Linked DNA regions of Schizosaccharomyces pombe. The protein of the gene in region 1 purifies or fractionates together with the protein of each later gene. This does not show direct contact. Each region holds a gene or a part of one and is shown in the gene's direction. Other genes may lie near its edges. The genes, in order: scl1 and rpt4.

Region 1 (3,654 bases):
TCTCATCTGGTAGAATTGAAGAAAGACGTGGAGTTCGGTTTTGCAAGAAGTCAAGCGATGAATTGACTGTATTAAGTCTGGGAACAACTTTCTTGGAGTTTTTTAACACAACAGCACTTCCTGAATTAGAGTATTTCTTGTGAAGATGAATGAAAGTCTTTACATTGAAATCGCGCTGCAATACAGGATTAGAGAGCGGAAGATCACCTCCAGTAGTCCACATAATGTGAACCCGAAGTAAAAATCTAATATTTGTTAACAATTTTAATCGAAAAGTAGATTTCCGTACTTGACTGATTCCAAGAATAGGACAGAATCATACTGTCTTGATGGATTGTATTTAGAAATTACAAGCTCGATGGGGAACGTCGATATGTTTAGAAAGTATAGAAGTTCCGATACTTTTTCGAAGGAAGGATTCTTTTTTCTGAAATATTCTAAGTACTGAGTACGTTCACTTTTCAAAATTGCTTGCTCTGTTTTTGGTAACTCAGCAATTTTACGAAACAGTAAGCCAGTATGGAATTGATGAAGTAGTAGTAAAATAGATGTGACTAAACAAAAGGTTAGATTACAACAAATAGCTAAATCCATACTTGTCTGTGATTTAAGTTGATCATCACGAAATTCCGCTGGCAACAAATAAGCTGCATAGCTAAGCAATCTTTCTATTTCAGTAACTTTAAGAAATGACTTCTCATCCTTTAAAAGTTGATCTTCATAATATGCTAAAGGTTTCATTTTATGTCCCAAATGACTCGTCAGTATAAATAATAAACTTGGTTGCTTATTATACACAGAAGAAAAAAGGGAAACAGTTTTTTAGTAAAATGATAAGGTAATTAATTTTCGAAGTTATGAAGAATATATGCAGAGCTCACAACCAAAACAAAAAGAAGCTTTAAATCTTAGGTATACTAACAACCATAAATGGGTATTGTGATGAGCAAAGAAGTCCCTATATATGAAAAAAAAAACTAATTAAAAGGATACGGGGTATTATTTCCTGAAATTACTAAAACCTGGTACAAATTCGCAATTGCGTAGGTTTGGGCGTGGGCATCTGCAGATCTTGTTGAAACATCCATTGCTAATAAATTCAAACTCACTATGGTTAAATGCTTAGCATATGACTGAGTCTTATAACTTCAAATGATAGCTATATTCATTTATTTATTTTTTTTATTTTGTTGTATTTTCAGTAATTGCAATTTCTTCGTTAAAATTATCATATAGTTATTCATTAACAATGCTTTAGTTGTTTATCATTTAAACCATTTTATAGTATTTTTCTTCTGCTTGATTTATAAATTTTTAGTTTTTGGATTGTGTTAAGTTTTTTAATTCTAGCAAAACAATAAAATCGAATGCATAAATATTTTATATTTTGAGTTTCTAACAATTTATTTCTACATTTGTGATTTCATCTCAGAAAAACCATAATTTATTAATTTAAACGAATATCATTCCTAGAGGTTTAGTCTTTCATATCACATACAATGCCATCTTACATTTTTTCTTAGCATAGCTATTTTTTTTTCTCGAAATTTGAATTTTTTAATTAATCAACCAATCGAGCATCCTTTTCAATTATACTTTTTAATTATTTTTTGTAAGCTCAATGTCAATTCGTCGTGGGCAGCAAGTTTCGCATAGACTAAACTATATACTCAAAAAGTTGGATATTCCTATTCTAATAGATTAGATAATAAAATTAAAGTGGGAAATATCAGAAAATCAATAACTCATTCTTTTTCAATTGAATATAGTTTAATATGTTCGACATGCATCTGTTTACATTATAAAGAGTCGTAACGCAAAATATAGCGAAATCGAAGAAGCTCTTGTGCGTGTACTAATGTTCCACAATTACTAAGTTTCAGGTTATAAACCTACTACTACCAACTACGATGTCTCAAGCACGCGGATTTGATAGGACAATTACCGTCTTCTCCCCTGAAGGACGTCTTTATCAAGTTGAATATGCATTCAAAGCGTTTAATAACGCAGGGATTACATCTGTTGGTGTAACAGGTAAAAATTGTGCATGTGTAATCTCCCAAAAAAAAGTACCTGACAAACTTATTGATGCCTCTACCGTTAAACATGTTTTTCCTATTACTAAAGGAATCGGCTGTGTTATGACAGGCTCTATCGCGGACGCTCGCGCGCAAGTTAGCCGGGCTCGAAGTGAGGCTGCTGAATTTGAATACAAAAATGGATACCCTATGCCCTGCGATGTTCTAGCCAAAAGAATGGCTAATATTGCTCAAGTTTCTACCCAACGTGCTGCTATGAGGCCTTTGGGAGTTGCAATGACCCTTGTAGCTGTGGATGATGAGATTGGACCTTCCCTATTTAAGCTCGACCCTGCTGGTTTCTATATTGGTTATAAAGCTACCAGTGCTGGACCAAAGCAAACGGAAACTATAAACTGGCTAGAAAAACGATTCAAAAAGGACGGAATACCTTCAAACCTTACTGATACCGTTGAAACCGGAATTCAGGCTTTAATGAGTAGTTTAAGTACTGATTTTAAGTCTACTGAGCTTCAGATTGGTGTTGTTGAAGACGACAAACCATTTCGAGTTTTATCAGTAGAAGAAATAGAAGCCCATTTACAAAGTATTGCCGAAAAGGATTGATTGTTTAGACCGGTTTGAATGAAAGTTTTACTATATACCTGTAATTTCGATTGGCATCTTTACGTTCTTACTTTCCTTTATTCCTCCCTTTTCTTGAAGGGTTTATTTGATTTATAAAATCAGTATATGCCATGTTACGTCCTTCCTGATGAAAACTTTTCGCTTTTTCATAGAGTAAGATATGTTAGAGAAATATATTTCTTATTGAACTTGACATTAATATTTCATTGATTTGTGCGTCGTAAAATTTAATCTAAAATCAGTATTTTCATTCGCCTAATTGGCTAAATTAGGGCTTAAATGTTTATAAATATGAACGTTTCCATTGAGGCCCCCACAAGCTAAATTTCTTTTTTCTGGCTGCCATGCTATTTTGTTTAATGGTTTACCGTCTGGGATATCACTAGTTACCGGAGCCTCTACGTCTTTTTGCAAATCCCATAGGTTTAAATTTCCTAGTGCATCAACGCTTGCGAAGCAACAAGGTTCCGATACACACCATTTAACATCAAAGACCATTGCCTTATGAGTAAATGTTTTGCAACTGTTTATGATAACCTGTTCATCTAAATCATTTGATGGGACTAATTCGTGCTGGTTTCTACTAGGAGAGCATTGCCAGAGACGCACGGTCCAATCAAAACTACTAGTTAGAGCAAAGTCTTTATTTTTTTCAAGAAATACGTTTTGACTGTTTGATGTCATTACATCTATTCCAGAAATAAAGACATTGTGACCCTCGTAACTAACATTTGAAGGTTGTACAGCCTTCGTCTCAGAGTAATCAGATCTATAGCCCCTTTGTAATTTTCCATCTTCAGCTCCCACTAAAAACTCCATGTTATTTTCAGGGATAAAAGATAGACATGTAGCTGGGATACATTGAGAGCTAGAGTCGACTTGAGAAGATAAGCATATTGTTTCACTCGGTCTTGAAAACATGTCAGGTTCCCATATATGAACAAGACCATCAGTACTACATGTAACGATATTATTCGATGGAGGATTA
Region 2 (4,401 bases), on another chromosome or scaffold:
CGGCTATAGAGATACCGGTTCATGTACTTCGGATGATGAGGATTCGATTCATGAGCCTTACCGTCCCGCTTCCACTCAACCAACTGAAAACCCCCCAGCGATGCCTGATCATAACGGAAGTCCAACCACTGAGCCACCTAAACCAAACGCTTTTGAATTAAAAGAAGAACGTCTTAAAGAAATTATCAGCGGGGGATTTGCTCTGGTTGATGAGCTTTGCTCTCTGAATTCCAAGTTGTGGTTTTTTCGAAAATCAGTTTTAACGATTATGAAGACGACAGTATTGCATGGTCCTGGGAGGTTCTCGGCTCAAGTTGAACGAATGTTAAAGAACCAAATTTATGACAAGCTTTCAAACACTCAACTAGTGGGAGATTTATTAACTTCGTTAATCTTAAACGTATGGCCCGACGAAAAAAAAGCCATGGAATCACATTCGACAAGGGCACACAGACGTTCAACTGAATCTAAAATTTCCTTTGATAGCGAAGCCGATTCCCTTTTCGAAGAGGCTAGCAAATCTGTTCCTGAAGACCCTGTTTCAGTTTTTTGTGACGAGGAAAGCGATGAAAGTTTGAGATTACGAGCCGAAAAAACCCTTGTTGAAAACGCTTTATCTGAGAATTTTACTCTTATGCTTGGACAGTCAACCTCCGAGGAAAGCCTAAAAATTATTTTCGAACTGCTTCAAGAACCGCAATTCGTGCAAGGGTTCCTTGCACATTTACTTAGCAATGCTCTTCGTAGCATCATATAGTCAATCAAGGTATATCGCAAGTGTGCCGTATATTTATTTCTTTTCGCCGATATATACCTGGCATTTTAATGATTTTTACTTCTTTCCCTTTTTTATCATTTTGTTTCCCTTCTCTTACATTTTAAAATTCCATTAGCTTTTGGTCGATACGTGATGACCGGTTTCATGATTAATCGCAAAATCAAACGAACCTTTAGAACCATTCCCTTGTTTTCTACCTCGTTTGTTAATATTTTATTATCCTACTTTCTTTTATATATTTATTTATAAAATCGTATTTTCGACTTTACCTTGCTTTAAGATTTGTTTGTTTAAAGTTGGCGAAGTCGAGAACTATCTTCTCTATCTTTAGTCAAGTTTGCGTTAATTTATACATATTGAGTTTCGTTTATTCGGTTAATTGTTCGTTCCGTTTTACAAGCAATCTAGCTTTTTGTGTAAGAAAAAGTTAGACGTGTATATGTTTAGAAAATTTAGTTGTAGGAACTATGATATTAATTGACAATCATATTCTGACACAAGTGGTCAATTGAATTGGATTGTTCAACTTAAGAGACCAAGTTTTGGCGGATTAAGCATAATTTTTGTTAACAGAATGACTTGAAGCAACTACCAAATTGTTGACATAGCAGTACCCAAAATTTTACGAAGGATGAAATTTTTTAAAGCAGAAAACGTTCGTTAATTTTGAGATTAACAGTAATTCTAGCATCTTCAAAGTTTGATGTTTGCTCAACAAGTTTTTGTTTTTACGGATAGCGACAGGAGTGTAATACCTCTGGTTTCGAGAAAACTTAAATATGAGAAGTTTAAACAAAATAATAATGCATTTTCGGTTGGGGTTTCAGCATGAACTTGCAAAACTGAAAAGATACTCAATTCAAACTTCAAAATATTCTTTTAAAGAAAACTGTAGTCTAGTAATCATACTGCTATTATAGAAAAATATAATCTTACGCAAGAACAGATTCCGCTGAAATTCGCAATGCTTATTTAACGAAAACGACTTTAGTGAAGTTTTAATAATTTCTAAGAACGTAAAATACCGAGTAATTGGATTCCCATTTGCTAGTATGTTCTGACCAGAACTAACACATCTTTTGCGAAATAACCATGTCGGAAAGAGACACTGCTTTAGAGAAATATAAATCCTATTTATTACAACATCGAGAATGGGATTCAAAACTGAAGGATTTGCGTTTTGGAAATCGAGATCTAGTCAAGAAATATGATAAAACAGAGGATGATATAAAAAGCTTGCAGTCGGTTGGTCAGATTATTGGAGAAGTATTGAAACAACTTGATTCTGAAAGATTCATTGTAAAAGCTAGGTAAGTAATTACTCAAACTTTTGGGAGATTGTTTGCTTTACGTGGAGGATATATACAAGTGAAATGTGAAAATGGATGTGAAGACCTTATTATTAGTAATGCATATGTTGGGCGTTGAATTCCTTCATAAAGAATTTTTTGTGGCGTATGAATGGGAACCATGTTTAAATGCATATAATCATTTGCCCGTTCCTTTTTTTTTTTAAAGATAAGTTCAGTGGGCAAAATCTGTGTTCAAAAACTGTTTGGTTCTAACCTCTCCATCCAGCAAAAATTCTTTTTGAAATGCGCACACGGTATAAAAATCTATAACCGGAAGCATGAAACACTCTGTTTACTGGTTTCATAGCAAATCGTTGGGAAAGTAGATACCTCACGTATAGTCATCCTTCTCTTTTTACAAATCTATCGTTGCATTAGTACACTATTTTTTATTTCCTTTCATTATTTTCTGTTTCCCTAACCTATTCTAGCTCTGGTCCACGTTACGTTGTAGGTTGCAGAAACAATGTCGACCAATCTCATTTGGTTCAAGGCGTTCGTGTATCTTTAGATATGACCACGTTAACCATTATGCGTATTCTTCCTCGTGAGGTTGATCCTCTCGTTTACAATATGTCAATTGAAGACCCTGGTGACATTTCTTTCGCCGGTGTCGGTGGCTTGAATGAACAAATTCGTGAATTGCGTGAAGTTATTGAACTACCTTTAAAGAATCCGGAATTATTCCTTCGTGTGGGAATTAAGCCACCAAAAGGTGTTTTGCTCTATGGTCCTCCTGGTACTGGTAAAACTCTTTTAGCTCGTGCCGTGGCGGCATCTTTAGGTGTTAACTTTTTAAAAGTAGTTTCCAGTGCTATCGTTGATAAATATATTGGAGAATCTGCTAGAATAATTCGTGAAATGTTTGGCTATGCAAAAGAGCATGAGCCATGTGTTATTTTTATGGACGAAATTGATGCTATTGGTGGTAGAAGATTCTCTGAAGGAACATCTGCTGATCGTGAAATTCAGCGTACATTGATGGAATTATTGAATCAGATGGATGGTTTCGATTACCTTGGCCAAACGAAAATTATCATGGCGACAAATCGTCCTGATACTCTAGATCCTGCCTTGCTTCGTCCTGGTCGTCTAGATCGTAAAATTGAAATTCCCCTACCAAACGAAGTTGGTCGTATGGAGATTTTGAAAATCCATTTAGAAAAAGTCTCTAAACAAGGCGAAATTGACTATGAAGCATTGGTTAAACTGACAGATGGAACAAATGGTGCTGACTTGCGGAATGTGGTTACAGAAGCAGGATTCATAGCCATTAAAGAAGATCGCGACTATGTCATTCAGTCCGATTTAATGTCCGCAGCTCGTAAGGTTGCTGACCTGAAGAAACTTGAAGGTACAATTGATTACCAAAAGCTTTAGTGCACATATATCCAAAAAGCCATGAAATGATAAGTTTACCGATGAAGATTATACGCGCAACTGCATAGTTATGATTAAAAAGGTCGAATAGTAAGTGAAACGTTTACTTTTAATATATTCCGACTCTTTTGGCTTTTATCATGTATATATGAATATGCTTGATGGGAATCTATGTATATTATCGTAAGGCATATCTGTGATAGTACAAACTGATTTTCTTCAATATTTGATTATGTTTTCCATATCCTCCAAATACCAAACATTGTTTTTCCACTCTACATAATTTACTGGCGACAAAAGAAAAAATGATCAAGTAAAAATAAACAATTAATTATACACATGAATTAAAAGTAAAGCAAATGTTTGACTAGAAATTATTAACTAACCAAATGCACTGAAGTGTAAAGAACGAACTAAATATATTGAACGAAACCCGGTTCAAAAATGCAAAAATTCTTCTCTTCCCAGGAAGGATAGTTTGAAGTTATCCTTAAAAGGTAGTAGACCTTTGACAAAGAAACGAGGAAAAACGTCTAGTACGCTAAGATAAAAGAATAAGAGAGGTGAAAATCATAGCTGGCTTCATATAAGCAGCCAAACTAGTTATTATAGTACTAGATGAAGCTGAATGCGCAGTTTAGAAGTCATTTTATCCCATAATTTCAAGAAAGTAAAGGCAAGATAAAGATAGCCAGATAGAGTCATTGAAAAAGACGACGAAAAGGCGTAAAACAAAGAGCGCAGAAATGAATAATCTAAAAAATTACAAATGAAGTATTAACGTATTAAAAGGAAAAAAGTATGAAACGCAAATAACTGATAATAAAATGATTAGCAAGCTAGTTTCTTTAAAATCGGCGTACAGTTTCCCTCTTTTTGTTTGTCAAAGAA

What was found.
Region 2: the proteins of scl1 (region 1) and rpt4 purify together in Schizosaccharomyces pombe (affinity purification with mass spectrometry, with the first as the bait; one study listed by BioGRID). This does not show direct contact.

What each region holds. Positions count from the first base shown.
Region 1 is NC_003423.3:955,748-959,401, forward strand, and holds scl1 (proteasome core particle subunit alpha 1), read left to right. Parts: upstream 1-1,886; 5' UTR 1,887-1,910; coding exon 1,911-2,645; 3' UTR 2,646-2,890; downstream 2,891-3,654. Other genes in the region: Pex16 family peroxisome import protein, read right to left, coding at 1-245, 290-554, 597-741; meiotic dynein intermediate chain Dic1, read right to left, coding at 2,922-3,654.
Region 2 is NC_003421.2:403,742-408,142, forward strand, and holds rpt4 (proteasome regulatory subunit Rpt4), read left to right. Parts: upstream 1-1,859; 5' UTR 1,860-1,870; coding exon 1,871-2,088; exon of another isoform or gene 2,089-2,142; intron 2,143-2,510; exon of another isoform or gene 2,511-2,561; coding exon 2,562-3,510; 3' UTR 3,511-3,854; downstream 3,855-4,401. Other genes in the region: mug122 (PX/PXA domain protein), read left to right, coding at 1-757.